2 linked regions of the Astyanax mexicanus genome follow. The main gene of each other region encodes a partner of the protein of the gene in region 2 in a complex. Links are inferred from orthologs where the notes say so. Each region holds a gene or a part of one and is shown on either strand. Other genes may lie near its edges. The genes, in order: rbm8a and casc3.

Region 1 (9,563 bases), on a different chromosome or scaffold from region 2:
CAATATCTATATTTTCTGGCTGATATTCTTAAACAATATGTTGAAAAAAATCTAACTTCATTATAAATATTTTAATATAATATAAAAACATCTGAGAAAGAAAATGCCTAAATTAAAGACTAAAACAGTTAGTATTACATTAATAGCTTAAGATCCGTTTTTTTTTTTAAGTTATATTTACTTATTAATTTGTACACTAAGTACACTCCTGGTAAAATAAGCAAACAAAATCCCAAACATTACATTAATTGCAACTGTTTAAAAGGTTTACAAGTCATTTCTAAAGCTTTGGGACTCCAGCAGACCGCAGTGAGAGCTATTATTCACAAATGGAGGAAACATGAAACACTGGTGAACCTTCCCAGGAGTGACCGGCTGACTGAAATTACTCCAAAAGGGCATGGACAAAATAATATTTTATTATTATTTTATCTTTATTTTACTTTATCTTTATATTTACCTGTTTTAACAATTGCTCATTTGGGTGGAACTGGATTGTGGGAATACAGTTTTGTTCCAACTCATGTACAGCATGTGATGTGAAATGACGTTACAGTTTTTTGACCTTTTTTTATTTAATTTGACTGGCTTTAATTTATGTATTTTCTTTCTTTGTCACGTTTTGGTTTGTTTTCAATCCCTCTGCACTTTATCAACATGCTTTTTATTGCTGAATTACGTTGATAATGATTATGTGTGCTGATGAAACCTGTGGCACAGTGACTACACAGCAGTTACATGTTAGTTTACTGTTCAGCAGGTCGAAGTCTGGTCTTGCCAACACGACTGTGGTTATATCAGCCGCTGATTGGCTTTATCTGCAGGTCGTGCTGGTGATACACGCTGACTAACGTTCAGCTGAAGTCCACTTTCAGTTTGATAAAAGGTCATGACCACACACTGACCTGTATCTTGGTTTTTTTGTCTGTTAGAGGATACAGTATTTTACCTGCTCATACTCAGTCTGATTTGGTAAGGGGTATCAAACTCATTTACATATATACATTTATTTCATTTTTAATTAATATTTTTTCAACAATACTTAAAAATCTAATTTATAAACCCTTTATAAACCCTTTATAAGGGTAGTCTTATTTTAAAGTGGTTTTAAAATAAGACTACCCTTATAAAGGGTTTATAAAGGGTTTATAAATTAGATTTTTAAGTATTGTTGATTAGGTTGTGAATGCCTTAAAACCTTTGATAAGCAGTTACAACACATTAATTAAAAAGGCAACAGTGATCCTTTGTTTGTTTAGTCATTTGACTTAACTGAGTCATTTCATTTATAGTAAATAGTTAAACATACTTACAAATATATAATATATAATATGACAAGTTTAATGCTGATTGATGGAAAACACAAAGTAAGATCAGTATCTAGAAATATATGAGGTTTGACAGTAGAAATGAGTGTTTGCCATTTTTTTAACTTAGTACTGTTATTTATTTATTAACTGCTTATTAATGAGTTTTAAAGTTTGTAGCCTAATTAATAACCATTAATAATCTCCTTTATAGACCATTCTTAACCCCTTTATAAAGGTAGTGTTATTTTAAAGTGGTACCACATTTTGCTATATAAGCATAGATGTCCATTGTGTATTATAAATATACAGTGAAAAAATAATAATAATTTGATCCCTTGCTGATTTTGTAAGTTTACCCACTGCCGTTGTTTTGTAAGAGCAAAAGACAAAATATATGATAAGGTGGACAGACAAGTAGAGCACAATAGACAATAAATACAGTACAATGTGCAAATTCTGCATTAATTAATACTTAATCTAATTTATCTGCTGTAACGTAGATTACTGTAGACAAAACTGCTGCCTGTTTTAATACCAGTTTCAACAAGTCCTCGTCTTCATCACTTAGCCTCACTTTTTTTTTCATCCTCAGGGGAATCCTACGTGGCTAATAACAATGCAAAACAACGGCATCATATGTTTTATGTATAGTATGTGCAAAAGTTGCAAAGAAATGCTACATTGGAAAGTTTGCACAGCTAATAGATCAATAACAGCACATTATTAATAATAGTGTGATTAACTAGCAAGTTACGCAACAGTTTGACTACAACTCTTCTGCTTTATATAACGCAAATAGTCTCAATCACTTAATTCCTAAATTCTGGTTTATACTTCTCTGTGAAGTCATCACACTGTCTATGGCAGGGGTGTCCAATTTTTTTTTCTTGGGGGCCAGAAGGAAAAATAAATGTGCAGTCACGGGCCACAGACTCTGTAATAAAACAAATAATGAAATATACCACTTATAATAATACATTTTCTTGATAACTATCATTTACACATTATTTTACTTGAGTTACTATCTTTACCTGTCATTGAGAGTGTTGTGTAAACTAAGATTTTCAAATCGATGTTTCATTTCATAATGTCTATTACTGATTCCTGACATATTAAACATACACACCTCCCTCTGAGCTCAGTTAAAAAACAGTCATTTTCCCAACGTGCCTGAAATTTTCTGCATTTGCTGTCTATTTTCCATTTCTTTGGAGCTGCCATGTTCTCCCAAAAGCTCAGGAACAATATTGTAGATATAATGAAGTGAGAAAAGGAGGTGAGGAGCGTTTTAGATTGAGTTTATGTGATAGCAACACCCAGCGTTCAAACTTTGAATCTCACATTATAAAAACCTGCTTAATAGCGGGCCTACTTTCAGTTTATTTTCAAAATATCTTGCGGGCCACTCCAAAAAAGGAAACGGGCCAAAAATGGCCCACAGGCCATAGTTTGGACACTCCTGGTCTATGGCATAACCTGTGGGTGTTTATACTTCTACATTTGTGTGTTTGTGGCTCTTCGTCGCTCCACATGTTTAAACCACAAAGACAGCTGCTGCTGTCTGTGTCACATGACGCGTAGTTACTAGGGCTGTCAACGGTAATGCTATGATTTCCTGTTACTTTTAGTCCTGTTACTCATAACAAAAAATAACAGGAGTGAGTGCCAGTAACAGGACTGAGTTTAAGTAACAGGAGTGGTTTTCATTTGGAAGAGTTACAACAAGCAAATGGCACCCATTTAGTGGAATGGCCCTTAAACAGTTATTGTTTGAGACTAATTTCATGATGCAAATATATATTATAGTCTGGAGACACTGAATACACATTAAGAACAGGCAGATAGAGAATAGAAATGTTAAAAAGTGAAGTGCTGTTTTAATTTTAGCAGGTAAAAAAGCAGGTGTTCAGTATAATCAAAATCTGTCCTAGTCCTTCGTTTTTTGGTGCCACATTTGTTGTTACGCTCACTTTTCCTCAACTGTGCTGCCTAAGATGTTGTGAAAGCCCTGTCGTTGTGATGGTTGTTGTATTGTACATATTGCACTACTGAGCTGCGGAGATGTCAGAGGCCTGGGCAGCCCTGTTTTTCTCTTTCTTTCTGCCTTTTTCTGTCATGTGTGAACCCCCATAGAGGCCGGCAGAATGGCCGAATTCACATTTAAAAACAGCACTTGTGCTCCTTCCAGTGGCGTCATCAAAGCCAATCCCAGTTCAATGGCTCAGTCAATTGGCCCGATGGGAGGCAGCGCATTTTCTAAAATGACCTTCTTCTGGGCGATTTGAGCACTCCAGCTCCCAGCATGAGCCGAAGTATTGAAACTAACATTGAGGAGATAATTGGGGCAAAATCTGAAAAAAAAAAACTTGCTTAGCAACGCAGCAAGCGAGAGAGACAGAGTGGGGTTAGAGGAAACAGTGAACTGAATGCAACTGAAGCAAGGGTGGCCATATATAGACCATATACGTATAGGATACAGGCTGCTATTTAAGATTATTAGATCACGATGAGGGGAATTTTATTGTATGCAGACACATAGTAGCAGGGTAGCTACTGTAAATATATATTTATATATTTATATATAAATATAAATGTTACTTGGGTCCTGCACTGACCTGTGTTATATGTGTTTGTGAGATCTATATAAACAAAGATAAGCGATAAAGGTATTTTTCTTGCAGTTTCTATCTCGTGTGCCTTATTTTTTGCACTATAGGGCGCACCGGATTATAGGGTGCACTTTCAATAAATGTCCAGTAAACATCTATTTCCATACATAAAGACACTACTAACTAGTAACTAGTAGAAACAGGGATATCGTCATGTTTTCCTTCTACATTCAGCAGGTAAAGCTATGCTAAGTAAACTAAAATGTAATTCTTAAAAAAAGCATTTTAGACTAGTCAGACAAGCAAACGAGTGCTGGATGTTCATCTACAGAGATTTCTTTCCTGAAAACTGTTTATTTGGGTGAGTAAAGTGCTTCTATTTATTAACAGTAAGCCTAGATTTCCAGATTTCCTCTAAAGCTGGAGCATTAGCAATAACGGCTAACCACTAGCAGTTAGCGGCTAATTCCACCAGACAATGCTACACTGAGGAACCCTGAGATTTCCTGTAAGCCGGGGCGATATTAGCTAACAGTCTGTCCCATGTTGCTTGTTCTAACACGGTAAACGTGCAGGCTACAGTCTGATATACTCGCCTCTAAACGGAGAAAGAGCTAGCGCTGTGGTTAGCAGCTAATGCTAATGCTGCTCCAGCAGTGCTAGCCAGAAAATGATCAACCCAAAAAGAATAGGGAAATTCACAATAAACAAAACAAGTGCTCAATGGTTTCAGTAGCTCCTTAAAAATATAACAGCATCACCCATATGAAAAAATGTATACAAAGCTCAAAATAGCATTTAATTGGTAGCACCTTAATAATGTTATAAGGCAGCTCTTTTGTTATTATGTTTTAATAATATTTGCATGAGTAAGACTCCAGATTTTTTTTCAATTGGTTGAACTGATAAAACTGTACCCTGATAGCAAAGAAGTGTGAAATGAATTGACATAATTTTTTGTTGCATCACATATTTAAAGGTTGATGATTTAAACTTTAAACTAAAGCTTGTCTTTTTAATTGACTTACTTGCACTTAAGGCAGTCAATCAAAGTCTGATGGAAACAATTGTAGGACATTATCACATATTATATAATATAAACTAAAATAAAATCAAAACCAAAAAACTATAGAATGCAAATAAATTTGAAAAGTTTTTAAATTGAAATGGAATTCTATGTAATTTCTTATTTTTAATCTGTCGCAAATTTACTAAAATACATCTATATAGTTATTTAGTTCCGTATATATACAAATGTTTGGTATACTTTTTTTTTGGTTAGCAAATTTCATCATATGTATATAGTATAGTATTATGTAAAATTATAATCAAATCTATTATTTTTTGAATTTGCGGTTAAATAAGAGGTAATCACAAATAAACAAAATGTATTGGTCTATAATGGGATTATCATTACTTCAATCCAAAAATGACAAGAAAATATACAATTTAACAAAGCTTGTCTGTAAAAAATGATCATTTTATAGGTAGGTAGTTTAGTAAGGAAGAAACTTTGTGAACTGAATGAAATAATTTTTAATAATTATTTTAATCCAGCTATTTTTAATAGTTTTTTCCAGAGGCGGCTGTACCTGCTGGAAGCCGGTAGGCGGCGCTGCCCGGGTTCGCCTCTCCTTTCTCGCTTTAACTGCGTCACCGGCGCGCATAGAGAAGAGCGCACTGCGCATGCGCATCACTGCTCACACGAACAGGCATCATGGCGGACGTGCTGGATCTTCATGAAGCGGGAGGAGAAGACTTTCCTATGGATGAGGATGGTGATGGTGCGTCTTTACTGCGGGTTTAACCCGCTGTTTAAACCGTGTGTGGTGTACTGTAGCTGTTCTGTAGCTGTGCGGGCGGGTAGTTTCTGTTATTTTGTCCGGACTGAGCGGTAAAGCTCGGTTGAGGCCTGGTCCGCCCGCCCTCGCCGCGACTAGCACGAGCTAAACCCGAACAAACAGACCCGGTTTAACCCGTTTACTCTCAGTTTAGCTTATTATCTTTATCTTATGTCGGGGTTTCCTATTAGTCTGCGTTATTTAGTTGAGGTATTTAAGAAAATATTCAGTAGTTTTCCAGTAGCTCCAGCTTTCTGTATTTTCTCTGTTAGTCTTCCAGTAACGAACACTCACACACTTAATAGAGACAAAAAGTTTGTGTAGTTCCACCTTAAATGATGCTGAATAGCCGCGCTGTTTAAGGTGGAATGGAAATATTCAGTAGTTGTCCAGTAGTTCCTCCAGCTTTCTATATTTTCTCTATTAGTGTTCCAGTAACGAACACTCACACACTTACTAGAGACAAAACGCTTGTTTAGTTCCACCTTAAATGATGCTGAATAGCCGCGCTGTTTAAGGTGGAATGGAAATAGTCAGTAGTTGTCCGGAAGCTCCAGCGTCATATTCACTCTTTTAGTGTTCCAGTAATGCCTACTTATTTTGCTTTGAGACAAAAAAAATCCTTCCACCTTAAATGCTGTTATGAAGCCAAACTATTTAAGGTGGAATGGAACATACCTAGTCGTTGTCCAGTAGCTCCAGCGTTCTTTATTTCTAAATATATTAGGAGACCAAGCTTTTCTGTTTACTCCAGTGTTTAGTTCTACCTTCAAGGGTGCTACAGCGGCTGCACTATTTAAGGTGGAATGAAGATATTCAGTACCTGTCCCGTAGCTCCAGCCTGTATTCCCGTGTTTTTTATACCGTAAATTTGTAATTTACCTACTTTGCCTAGAAAAAACAAACTTCTGTTTATTCTAGTGTTTAGTTCCACCTTAAATGGTGCTATCAGCCAAACTATTTAAGGTAGAATGGAAAATATGCAGGGGTTATTCAGTAGATCCTATATTGTTAGAGTGTATTAGTAGACGAAGCTTGCCTTTGTATTGCATTGTTTAGTTCCACTCTAATTGGTGCTGCAGCAGCTGCGCTATTTAAGGTGAAATTAAATAAATCCAGTAGCTTCTTGCTTCAGCTTCTTGTATTGTCTGAGCGTATTAGCTAGCTAGTCTAATGACTAGATTTAGCTAACCTATTGAGTTTGCTTGGGGACATAAATATTTGTCTATTTATTGCACTCTAGTTCCACATTAAATTAGCTGCACTGTTTAAGGTGGAATGAGATCAATCCGCTAGCTTCTGCTCTCAGTATTGTCTGAGTGTATTGGCGAGAGTTCCAGTAATGACTGCAGTTATTGTTAGAGTTTGCTTGGAAGCAAAGTTTTTTTTTTTTTTTTTTTTTTTTTGTTAATTGATGTTCTTCTGTATCAGCATCACTATTTAAGGTGGAATGGAAATATTCTGTAGTTGTCCATTAGCTCCAGCTTCATGTATTCTCTTTGCCTAGAGGCAAAAAACTCTACCTAAAATGGTGCTGATCAAATGCGTTATTTATAGTGGAATACATCTGTGTATTTTATTTTTTTTTGCAGAGAGCATCCACAAGCTAAAGGAGAAGGCAAAGAAGAGGAAGGGTCGTGGATTTGGATCTGGTAAGTAATATTGATTTTTGTGCAAAATAAAAAGTTTTCTCTCTTTATGGTTATAACACTAATATATTTCTTTTGACTGTACTCTGTAACTAAATATTTGTGTTTTAACACCAGAGGAAGGAGCGAGGTCCCGAGTGAGAGAAGACTATGATACAGTGGAACAAGATGGTGATGAGCCTGGCCCACAAAGATGTGAGTTATCAGATTGGATATTGGAAAGAATTGGCATGATGTTAATTGTTCTTAATACTGGTATTAGTCTTTAATACTGTTACCCCTCTCTAACCACCTAATAGGGCTGCAAACCTCAGCACCATCAAAGTGATTTTATAATGTTATAAATGTTTTCCAACATGTTTTAAGTATTAATGTTCCTCACTAAAGATATTCTTATAAATTAATCAAGCAGTTTACAACCTCATAAAATGAAATGTACATTTACACAAGTCATATTCTTTCCAGTATATTATATTATATTATGCGAAAAATGTTTGCACACTTTTCCCCCTTTTACACTAAATGTAGTGGACTCTAAACTACCTAAATGAATGAAAATGTTAAAAGAATGTGATTGAGGTGGTTTAAAGTGTGTGGAGCTTGAAGCCAGTCTGATTTACCCCATATTTCAGTAAATTGAGTGTTTTACGCAATTAAAGAAAAGCATCATTCTATTATTTTTGTTCACGCTGTATTTTCAGCTGTTGAAGGATGGATCCTGTTTGTGACTGGCGTTCATGAGGAGGCAACGGAAGAAGATATCCATGACAAATTTTCTGAATTTGGAGAAATCAAGAACCTGCATCTCAACTTGGACAGAAGAACGGGTTACCTTAAGGCAAGTCTGCAGCATTCCACCTTCAAACAATTTCTATATTTGCGTGCCACACAAATTAGGCGATATACTTCACATCAACGCAATTTTGCTATGAACATTGTCCATGTCAGATAAACACTCCCAAAAATCTGTAAAATTTTAGATTTACTGGAATTAAGAAATCCTTTACATTTCATGGAAAATCTATGTAAGAAATTGTATTTTAAGCCAGTTTGCTTCATTTCTATTGGTCATGAAAAAACAGCATTAAGAAACAATCAGCTACTTTTCACTATATTTACTTAATGTACACCTTCTGTTTAGACATACTATAATTGTTATTAAGCTATCTTTTCCTTACTTTCCCTAGAGCTAACACTAGTCATACGTTACTAAAACTGATACTAAAAAAAAAAAAAAAAAAAAGAATACAGAGAAACTACAAAACACAGTAATCTGCCTTGGTTTGGAAACCAAGTTTGGCCTCCCTAAGTGTAAAGCTGTGAATCCATGGGTTTGTCTTCTTACTAGAGGGATTTGTTGGGAATAATGTGTTCAGGCGACCACTAAGTGGCAGTATTTTATAAGAACAAACAGAGGCTTTCTTTTACTTAAGGTATTGAAGATGCATTGGGTGTATTTCCACATCTACTGTGTTTTACTGACGCACTTGAAATACTTAAATATTTGATTTTGATATTTATTTATTTATTTATTTTTATTTAAGTTATAAATGCTCAGCTGCATGAAAAATGGACAATACCCAAGTAAAAATAAAGTTTGATTGAGTGACACTAAACCTAAGAGAGTTATATCCACCCAAGGACTTGGTGTAGAATAAGAAATCAAACCTCTGGGGAAGGCAGTAGGAACCCACTACACTACCTCAGGGAGCCACATTTCTCTTCCAGCTTGTTGTAGATTTTGCCTCAAAGTATTAAAATAATATTGTATAATGTTAATTTAAATAATTTCAAAACATTATGTAAGCTGTTAATATATACAGCATGGGTCATTCATCCTCCTTATAACAAAAAGATCCACCCTGAATTAGTTTTTCTAATGCCATTTAAACAAATTTACATAAATCCTCCCACACAACAGCCTCCCCCATTCACTATGTTCTAAAGATATAAGAAGTGCTATTTGTATGAAGCACAGTACAGGCCATTCAAATAGAGGGCATTTGCATATCAGCAGCCTGTTTATCAGGTAATATAAAACCAAATTACACTTATATTGTAAGTGGACCTCGGGGAGAAAATAAGATCAATTAAAGTATGGTCATATTACTCAGAGCTTCATTTTGTACTGGTGTTTTCCTCACAGGGCTACGC
Region 2 (9,542 bases):
GCAAAAATTAAACTGAATAATAGATGTGATTTTTTCCAGGGGCCATGTAGACAAATCATGTCTGAATAAGATTTTCACAAAACATGTCCACAAACATTTTTTTACCTTTTAAAAATTAATTTATAAGCTGTCTGACCAGAGGAGGATGGATACCCCTCATATATTAGCCTTTCTAATACATTTGATAGAAAAAAGTAAATGTGAGTTTCCTTCTCAAGGTAAAAGTTTTCTATGTTGTATGTTAAATGTTTTGACTGATTCTCTGTCCTGCTAACATTTCTGTAAAGCTGTTGTAAAAGTGCTTTATAATTTTATGTGTACATCCTACTTCAGGCACAGATTTGCTCACTTTAGGTCATTTACACTTACAAACTACTTATAAATGTAGATCATCAAATAAACCGAACACTAACTGAGAAAAACAATCTAAAATGATTAAACAAGAGGTGTAATGTGAACGTAGCCTTTGATACAGACATTCCTATTGGCTCCAACTCATTACTAATATAAACAGCAAGTGAACATCAGCTCAGCTTCCAACCCTACTAAATACTGAACAGAGATAACTTCTTTAAAACTTCTTGCCATAAACAACACAATTGGACAAAAGGCAACATAACCAAAACAAGCTACTCAAATGTACACCAATAAGCCGCAACCAACGAACACTTAATGCACAGCATCCATCATGTACTGGAGCCAGTTTGGGGACAGATTTTCTCACCAGTCCTCCAGTCTGTGTTGCTATGGTGACTCACCTCTGAGTGAGAACCATTCTCCTCAGGATCCGCACTGTCGTAGTCTGAAAGGACAGCTGCAAGAACAAAAACGAAAAAAGTGGTGAATCAGTGATCTACATCAATCACATAGGAACCGTGTATGATAAAGCCCATCATTAGTGTCAGTACTTTTAAGTAAAAGCACAAAGAGAAACTCACCTTCACCTACACCACCATCTTCACTTTCCTACAAAGGAACAAAAAAATATAGTTAAAGTCAGACTTGTGGTTGGTGGTCAGAGCTGTACAGTGTTTGTGAAACCACTTAATTCCTTTCTCTTTAAAACTGTATAAACAAAAACATCAAGTTCCTTATTCTATAAGCCAAACCTCTGTCACCTGATAAGGTTCACAAAGGAAACACACATCCATTTAGTAATCCACCCAAACAGAAAGTGAAAAAAAATATGGCTTTTAAACCTGGCAACATGTTGATACTGGGCTAACATGCGTAGGTCATATGCTAGGTGGCTTCCAGGTGGACAAAATTTGTTTGTCCATGCATTGGGCTTCCTTTATGTGCCCAGGCCCCATGTGAGTGTACAACTCAGAATAAATTGATGGTTAACTCCCCCTGATCCTATACTAAACCATACTGGGCATCCATATGTGAGGCCCCACCATGAAACCTATATACAAAAACTTGCTGGTTCCCAGTTCGGTTACCTCAGACAACAAAAGCATGTTGTCTGGGGGCTTTGTGTGTAGCCAAGACACAAAAAAAAACTAAAAATCCCATGTCTAGAGATATCAAAGCCTTACCAACCAGACTTGATCATCTACACATAACTTTGTGTAACTTTCCTTGTAAGCAGAAAGCACACCAATTTCTTACACACACTTTAATCAGAAAATGTGTCAATGCCTCCTCATTGTGACTCAAGAAGCAATATTAAGAAAAACTGACAGTGATGTTTTCTTGCTCTGTAATTAATACTGCAGTATTAAAAGTGGTCCAATGTCATAATATTACTAATGCCTTCTGTGTGTATTAAAGACTGAAGCAAAATAACTTATACTGATGGAGATAAATGGAGATAAATTGAGTGTAAATCATCAATAATCCAATGTTTGCTGCCTAATAAACGACAGCCCATAATATCTCCACAACATCAGGCGGGTCTTTTGTAGTACAAAACAGGCCAACCAATGAATCAGCAACATGGTCAGGTACTCCTACGGCTCAGTGATGCTCATGGAGGCACCACCTCACTCACCCTTTACTTTACCTAACTTACAAGATTTAAAGGACCTACTGCTAAAGTTGTTCTTGGTGCCTAATCGCAAACACAGGACACTTTCAAATGTCTTGTAAAATCCATACACTGAATGCAGTAAGCTGTAAAAACATTATCAACAATGTGACGCATCTTTGCCCATGCTTAGATATCAATGACAATTCTGAAACGATAATTTACTGTGCAAGTACCAAATAAAAGTAGCACAAAAAATAAGGAAATACATGTTTGGTAGACGATTTCTTTGCTGACTTGGCAATAAGTCCCATACTGTTGGAAAGCCTGTTATTTCTCTTTTAAAATGGTGCCACATTTTTAAGAAACATGCATTAGTGTGATGAGCAGCAGAGCAGAGAATGTGTGTTGTGTTCACGAAAATGCTAAATGCTCAATGCCAATGCCAAACAGCTTATTGTGCCATTGACTCGTTTGGTGTTGACTATCTTCTTTCTGTGTGATCATCTTGTGATGCCCACTTAGTGTCAGCTATATGGAATGTGGCCTTTAATTTGGAGATATCAGTACTAGGGCTCACTCAGAATAATGCCGTAACTTGGCTTTGCAGCACACCAGCTTGAAGTGAAGCTACCTCTCGGCCTTCTATCCAGATTAGTCAATTGAGGAATGTCAAATCTTGAGGCACACATATACTGACCACTGTACCAGGGCCCATGCTCATGCCAAGGCAACACCTGGGGGAACCAGAAGCTGAAAACAGGAAACAGTAGTAACAGCAGAATACGCTGTTTGGCAATGATGGAGATTTGACAAAATTTTCATGAAGGCAACCCACATACTCTGCTGAGCTCTGCTGCTCATCCTGGAAATGCATGTTCCTTACAAATGTGACAATTTTAAGGGAAATGAACAGGCTTGCCAAGAAGCATTGTCACAACAAAATCTACTAATAACAAAAATTATGTTGTTTTTTTCCTTTTTTTTGCTAGAGCAGTGCTTCTCAAACATTTTAGATCATGTACCACCAAAGCCAAACCCAAAGTACCACCTAAAACTTCGTAAGCATGTAAACGATGTTCACAAATAACGCAATGTGTTATATCGATGTTGACATGAAACACTAATGCTATTAAAAGGTAAACTCCAAATTATAAAAGAAACGCTTCAAAATTACTTTCATCACATTTCTCTTCATGAAAATTATGAGATGTTTTTATGAGATGATAGTGACAACATGTCATTGTCTCCAATGAAACCAGGCAAATTCTTAAGAGCTAGACATTTGGACATCACGTGGTACCCACATGCATTTTGCTGTATAATCTTTTGTTTTTGATTCATTAAAACCTTTATTTGGTGGTGTACCACCTTGGTGTGCTTCATGTTAGTTACCAATGTTTGAGAACAACTGAAGTAGAGGGTTAACGGACAGCACGTATGTATGCATTCCCGTTACAATCACCATTACCATCACTAGAACTATCACCATCACCATCCCGGAGGTGTTGGCGGGTTATGTAGCTACCCTGCTCTGTCCCTCTGACCAGAGTTGACTAATAAAACAGTGAGCCAAAAAAAGAGACTACACACTAACGCTACACTCTACAGACTCTACCCGTCCCTCCCAAAAAAAACCCGCGATTCCTCTCCTATTAACCCCTATCTCCCTCCCCCCGCCGGACCGCTAGCTGAGTCCCTGCCGGACCCTCGGCCCGCCGCTGAAGCCCCGCTGGACGGCCAATACTTACACACTCCGACTCGACATCGCTTTTTGGGGCGCTGCGAACCGCCGGGGCCTCGACAGGCTCCGGGACCCTCGGCCGGGTCTTGGCCGCTTGTGAGGCGGAGCCGGTGCTGTCTGAGCCCGAAGCCTCCTCCTCCTCCTCTTCGCTGTCCTGAGAAGCGCGCCGCCTTCGTCGTCGCCGGTCCGCCATCTTAACTCACAAGGAAGGGGAGAGCGGAAAGGCGCAAGGCAATGTGGGAGTTAAGAAGTGCGTCACTTCCTCTACACCCATTATTACCAAGCAACAGGGCTGAGGAAACTTCATAAATGAAACATAGTCATTTAAATAGAGCTTAAATACTTTTATTAAATTCCAAAAGCAATATAATACAAACAAAGACATCCAAGGTAATTTAAACATACAACCAAAAAGGTTTTTCAAGCTAAACAAAACATTTATACTGACAACACATCTCATTCATAAACCGGCAAATTAAACTCTTTAGTGTAATTTACAGTGGACACAGCTTTATTGCTGCTAATAAACAAGTTAAATCCATCAAGAAATACACTAACTGGCAAAAAAAAATCTTCACCTGGATTTAACTAAGGAAATGATGTGGGGTTGATGCTGCAGTTGGTCAGGTCTAGGTTTCAGCAACAGTATGTGCTGAAAGAATGAGGTCAGCTGACTACCTTATTCCATCACTGGATTTTTTCTTACCTGATGGCACGAGCATATTCCAAGATGAGAATGGCTGGATTCATGAGGCTGGAATTGTGAAAGAGTGATTCAGGGAGCATGAGATCATCATTTTTACACATGGATTGGCCACCACAGAGTCCAGACCTTAACTCCATTGAGCATCTTTGGGATGTGCTGGATGGAGAAGGCTTTGTGCAGTGGTCAGACTCTACCATCAGTGCTGCAAGATCTTGATTAAAAATTAATGCAACACTGGATTGAAATAAATCTTGTGACATTGCAGAAGCTTAAAGAAAAAATGCCACAGCAAAAGCAGGTGGTCCAACCAAATATTAGAGTGTTTGCCAAAGAGGATCATCAGATTTAAAGTTAAGTTGACAGTAGAGACCTTACAGATAAAACCAAAAATAGCAGTCACATTTTATATCTACCCTCTAATTTGCTTATCAAAAAAAGGCTAGAGCTTTCTAAAAATATTTTGAATAAGAACATTAAAAAAATAAATGTTCTAGTTTTTTTGTATGTTTGGAGCAAAATTAACTGTTTTGATAAATGTAGCAATATTATAATTACATAGGTAGATGTACGTGAATTCTAAATGTACTTGATTCTCTGATTTTATTATAAATACAAAACTTATAAAGTAGTGATGAAGCTTTCCCCCAAGAGATCTCTGTAAAATGAGAGTTCCAATATGATATCCCTTGTGGCCTAATTTTTCTTTTGTTGTAGAATCCTTCCCTAATACTGTGTTTCACTTTTGAAGTCTCGAACATTAATATAAAGCAAATGGTTTAAACTTGGAGACGGTGTAAAATTGCATATGAGATTCCATCATCATTAATAAACATTTAGTAATAGCTTTAGCTACAACATTATACTCTTTATGTTTTATAAGAAAAGACCATTTTTTTTTATTAAATCTCCATAAGAAGGTAAACTAAGTTCATAGGAAAGAAAGTAAATGCCCAGAATCATCCAACAGATAAGCAACATAATAAATATCACAATCTTTTTAAGGGCACAGAAATAACATATATATTTTTTTACTGTCATATTGCCATTGTTCCAAAGACCTAAATTATGTCGACAAAAATTATGAACGTGTGGTATAAAATACCAAATATGTGGAGATTAATTAACCCAAAAAAGCCCATGGTGAAGTATGTCACAGACCCTTTAAAACATGTGCAAAGTTCCTTACAGCACTCTGTCCTTTATTTTAAGTCATAAAGTTCCAAGTGAAATATACTGAACATCCTGAGAGCATCAGTTGGTTGTAGAGGTGGTGCAAGGTTTTGTTGAAATCCATAAATATTTGGCAAAACGGCATAATTCTAACACATTTAGGTAGTACTGCTGTATCCACAAGCTTTTGGTTTAAATTACATTTCGCTAATAGAGCCACGTCTCTACCCTAGGCCAAATTATGGAGCCAAAAAAATGTATATTTGTCTTTGCATTTGCATTTTTCAGCAGGGTAATGATCATCCACACACATGAAAGATTTCTGAAGATTGGCAACACTTCCTTGGTCTTTAGGCTGGAATCTATATTTCAAATTAAGGAAGCACAACTAAACAGGTCTGTCAGATTACATTCAAACAGCCATGTCCAATTTTCATGAAATTACCCCCATACAGTCCAAATCATTTTTTCAAGAGTCTGAATGGATGTTTTGGATTACTACACTATTTCTCATTTTCAGTCTTACCATTGCTGTTGTTTATGACGTGCAATGACTGAGTTAAGTGCAAAAAAAAAAAAAATTAGATTAACTACATAAGTATTTTCCAACCTAATGTAACACAAACAGTAAACTAGAGTGGATAACACAAACAAAAAAAAAACACAGTAACAAATAAATTGTGAACTTCTTTAATATTTGAAATATTCTCTTTAGATGCATTTAGAGTATCTTACACTTATACTTTGAATCAACACTATTTTACAAGATAGGCCATGTTTTCTTAGATTCATACCATCCACTTACAATGAACAGAAATGCAAACCAAAAACAACAAATCTTGACATTCTCTGTTCTCAGCTCAATATGATGGGAGTTTTGGTCCATACTGTACATCTGAAAGCAAACTTGTATGAGATGATGCAAAAGCAACCAGGGCACAAGCATTATACTTTGCAATATTAAAACAACCATGAGCATGAACTTCTGAAAGCTTGGTTTTCTGCCACTGTGGAGTTAGACTGTTAAGTGGTTCCATCACCAAATGAAGACTTAACAGAGGAGAAAAATGGACTTGGTCTGCTTAAAGATCAAAAGTGCAATCAAGGCAGTCAGGTATGCCAGGTGAGTGCATATTGCCAATATGATCTTGTAGCACACAGGACATGCCACGAAACAGTAGAGCTGAAGCAGCATTTCCTTTAGAAGGAACATGTGGGCTGCGCCGCTGTCTTTTTTCGCCTGTAGGACTGCTTCACTTGCGGCAGGTCCGATGGGGCGTCTTCTTTTTGGACAGTTCTTGTCGGCAGCGACTGCGCTCATCCAGCCATGGTATGTCAAAACTCCTGTACAAAGAAAAAATGAAGAGAATGATTTTAAGCAGAGGATTCCAGAACAGACCATACATAGGACAAATTTTGAAGAAAAAAAAGAAAGAAATCTTGTGTTACAAATGTGAAATATGAGTAAACGTACTGCTGTTGAAGATTAGGCAGGGGTCTGCCAAATGCCACCACTGGCAGGTATGGTGTAATCATTATTGATTCCACTGAAACAAAAAAAAAAAAAGAACATTTTGGTAAAAATGCACCAATTTTCTATGTTTAACTGTTGAAACTTTAGTGACATACCATCCTCTGCTTCAGGGTAGAAGGAAAGTAGCTCTGGCTCACTTTCCTGAATCACTTTTCGCTTATCCATCCTCTGCTGGAGTCTCTGGAACATCCTCTGCTCCCTAATACGCTGAATATCCCACCTGAGACAGACAGGAAATTAGGGACTTGTGAAAAGAAACAGAGAAGCAGTCCGTTCAAAGAAACCGCAGGGATATTAATCAGTTCTACCTTTTCCTTCTCTTTTCATCCAACTCCAGTTTTGAATGCCGCTTCAAAAAGACACCGTCATCTAGACTCTGAATAAAATAATAAAGTCACTCTAGGGTGCAGATTTAAGATTTCATACATAGATAAACTACATTTGTATTTTTTCCTAATAAAGGCCACTGTAATACATTTCAGGAGATGGTGTAACATATCAATCTCTTTTCTTTGAATTGTTACTGACCTCAGGGATATCTGTTGCTTTTTTCTCCTCCATGGGTTCCAAAATGCTCTCTCGCCAAGACGGGACTAAAATGGAAAGGAAGGTATAAAGTGTCAATAATCCAGATCACCAACATTTAGTTTAAAAGTTTTGTTGTTCTCTAGATACAAGTTACCATTGTTGACATTTGAAAGAACTTTAGCGCTACAAACATTACATATACAAATATTTGTGGACACCCCTTGTAATTAATACATTCAGCTATTTTAAATTTCACCCATTGTTGACATGTGCAAATAGTCCATGCACAGATATACTGCCAATAGAATAGGAATCTCTGAAGCAGATAAACACAAAACTTTTGACCCTGTTCCTAATGCCATGTATGAGCTAGAGAGTTTGAGCTATTGGTGCTAAAAGTGTGTGGGCTATTGGTACTGAAAGTGCTTGCACAACTGACAAAACTTACCAGCAACTGTGTCGTCCTGCACAGGAGATGGCTCTCTCCAAGGTGAGGGTGGCGGCTGGTGCCAACAGCACAGATACATTTCTGTCGTAGCCAGGTAAGGCAGTTCTTCTGATTGGACAATGGAGGAACCATGTGACTTAAATTCGGGACTTTCTTCTTCTTGAGCCTCCTCCTTCAAAGCTTGGCCTTCCTTTGGAGAAGGCATTTTGGGCTGACCTCGTCTGGACCTGGCCATCCCGGATTCTTGAAAAAGGAATCTTCTAAAAAAGCAAAAGAAAGTTTAGTCATGTTTGTGTTTGATTTTTCATGCATGCCAAATCAACAAATAAGTAAGCAGTATGTTTTTAAACAAAAACATTTAAAGCTTTACGTATAAAATGTTGAATACCTTTTCAGGCCCTTGCCACCCCTTCCTAAAGTCATAGGTCTAGGTGTCAGGCTCTGCCCCTCAGGTTGCCCTGTGCTTTCTGGTGAGATGGCCTCAACAACTTCCTTGCGACGTGGAGTCTGAGACGGCCGATTCTCAGATCCTTCTTTCTTCACCATCTGTAGCCGCCGCTCCATTCGCTCAATGCGAGCAGTCAACTATATTAATGAAATTAATAAATAAGTGTGCATAGCCCAGAGCAGTGGAAGGATGCCTTTGCCATAGTTTGTTTGTTTTTTTAAGTACAAAACATGACAATTGATTAAAGAAATGCTTCCTCTTAATTTGTGTGCGTTTAATCAAGTTATCAGCCCTAAGCCACTTACTTAATCTCATAAAAGTGTGAAGGAAAATAAAACTGTATAAAATCTAGACTCCAAATACAAAGATCAAGCAGGTATGTATTAATGTATCACAGTTGGGAAGGTGGCGTAGTGTCTGTCTCAATATACTAAAGACAATTTGTTTAGTACACAATAGACAAATAACCTCTGCTTACCATTTCCTTTTCAGCTTTGAGGTCATCTATCTCTTTGTTTTTATTCTGCAGCTGCTGCTGTTGCTGTTCAATCAGCTCTAGCTGCAACAGAAGAATCTGACGAAAGCAGCTAGTCTGTGTGGCAGCATGGCCGATGCCCTTCATCATATTTCTGCTTTTTGCATCAGGGCCATGTTCAGGTGAGGGGACTCCTGCTATTGCAACTCCCCCCACTGGCCCTGCCTTTCGTGGCTGCTTGCTGCCGTTTGATGCCACTGGATCCATCCTGCCCAAGTGGTTGTGACTGGCCTGTCCAAACAGTGATTTGCTTTTTACTGGGGTACCCTCGGCCCCCATCTGCTTGGCCAGAGGAACTATCAAATCCTCCAGGTTCACCCAGTTCTCCTCTTGCCCTTTCCTCACTGCCAGAGACTGGCCAGGTCTGCCTGCTGTGCTGTGACTGCTTGTGAAGGTCTTCACTTTGCTGTGGAGATGCTGTTCACTACTGTTGTGGATGGTGCTCAGGACGGCAGGA

The links.
Region 1: casc3 (region 2) and rbm8a share a complex: the UniProt entries of both Homo sapiens proteins name them as parts of the mRNA splicing-dependent exon junction complex. The link is inferred for Astyanax mexicanus from reciprocal best matches to the Homo sapiens genes CASC3 and RBM8A.

Annotation. Positions count from the first base shown.
Region 1 is NC_064408.1:115,219,024-115,228,586, forward strand, and holds the start of rbm8a (RNA-binding protein 8A), read left to right. Parts: upstream 1-5,582; 5' UTR 5,583-5,636; coding exon 5,637-5,703; intron 5,704-7,352; coding exon 7,353-7,412; intron 7,413-7,526; coding exon 7,527-7,604; intron 7,605-8,110; coding exon 8,111-8,247; intron 8,248-9,555; coding exon 9,556-9,563.
Region 2 is NC_064426.1:33,095,824-33,105,365, forward strand, and holds the start of casc3 (protein CASC3), read right to left. Parts: upstream 3,932-9,542; 5' UTR 3,910-3,931; coding exon 3,724-3,909; intron 967-3,723; coding exon 939-966; intron 815-938; coding exon 759-814; intron 1-758. Other genes in the region: msl1a (male-specific lethal 1-like 1), read right to left, coding at 6,846-6,936, 7,067-7,139, 7,222-7,346, 7,435-7,502, 7,655-7,719, 8,103-8,362, 8,491-8,687, 9,029-9,542. UniProt on the Homo sapiens protein: Required for pre-mRNA splicing as component of the spliceosome. Core component of the splicing-dependent multiprotein exon junction complex (EJC) deposited at splice junctions on mRNAs.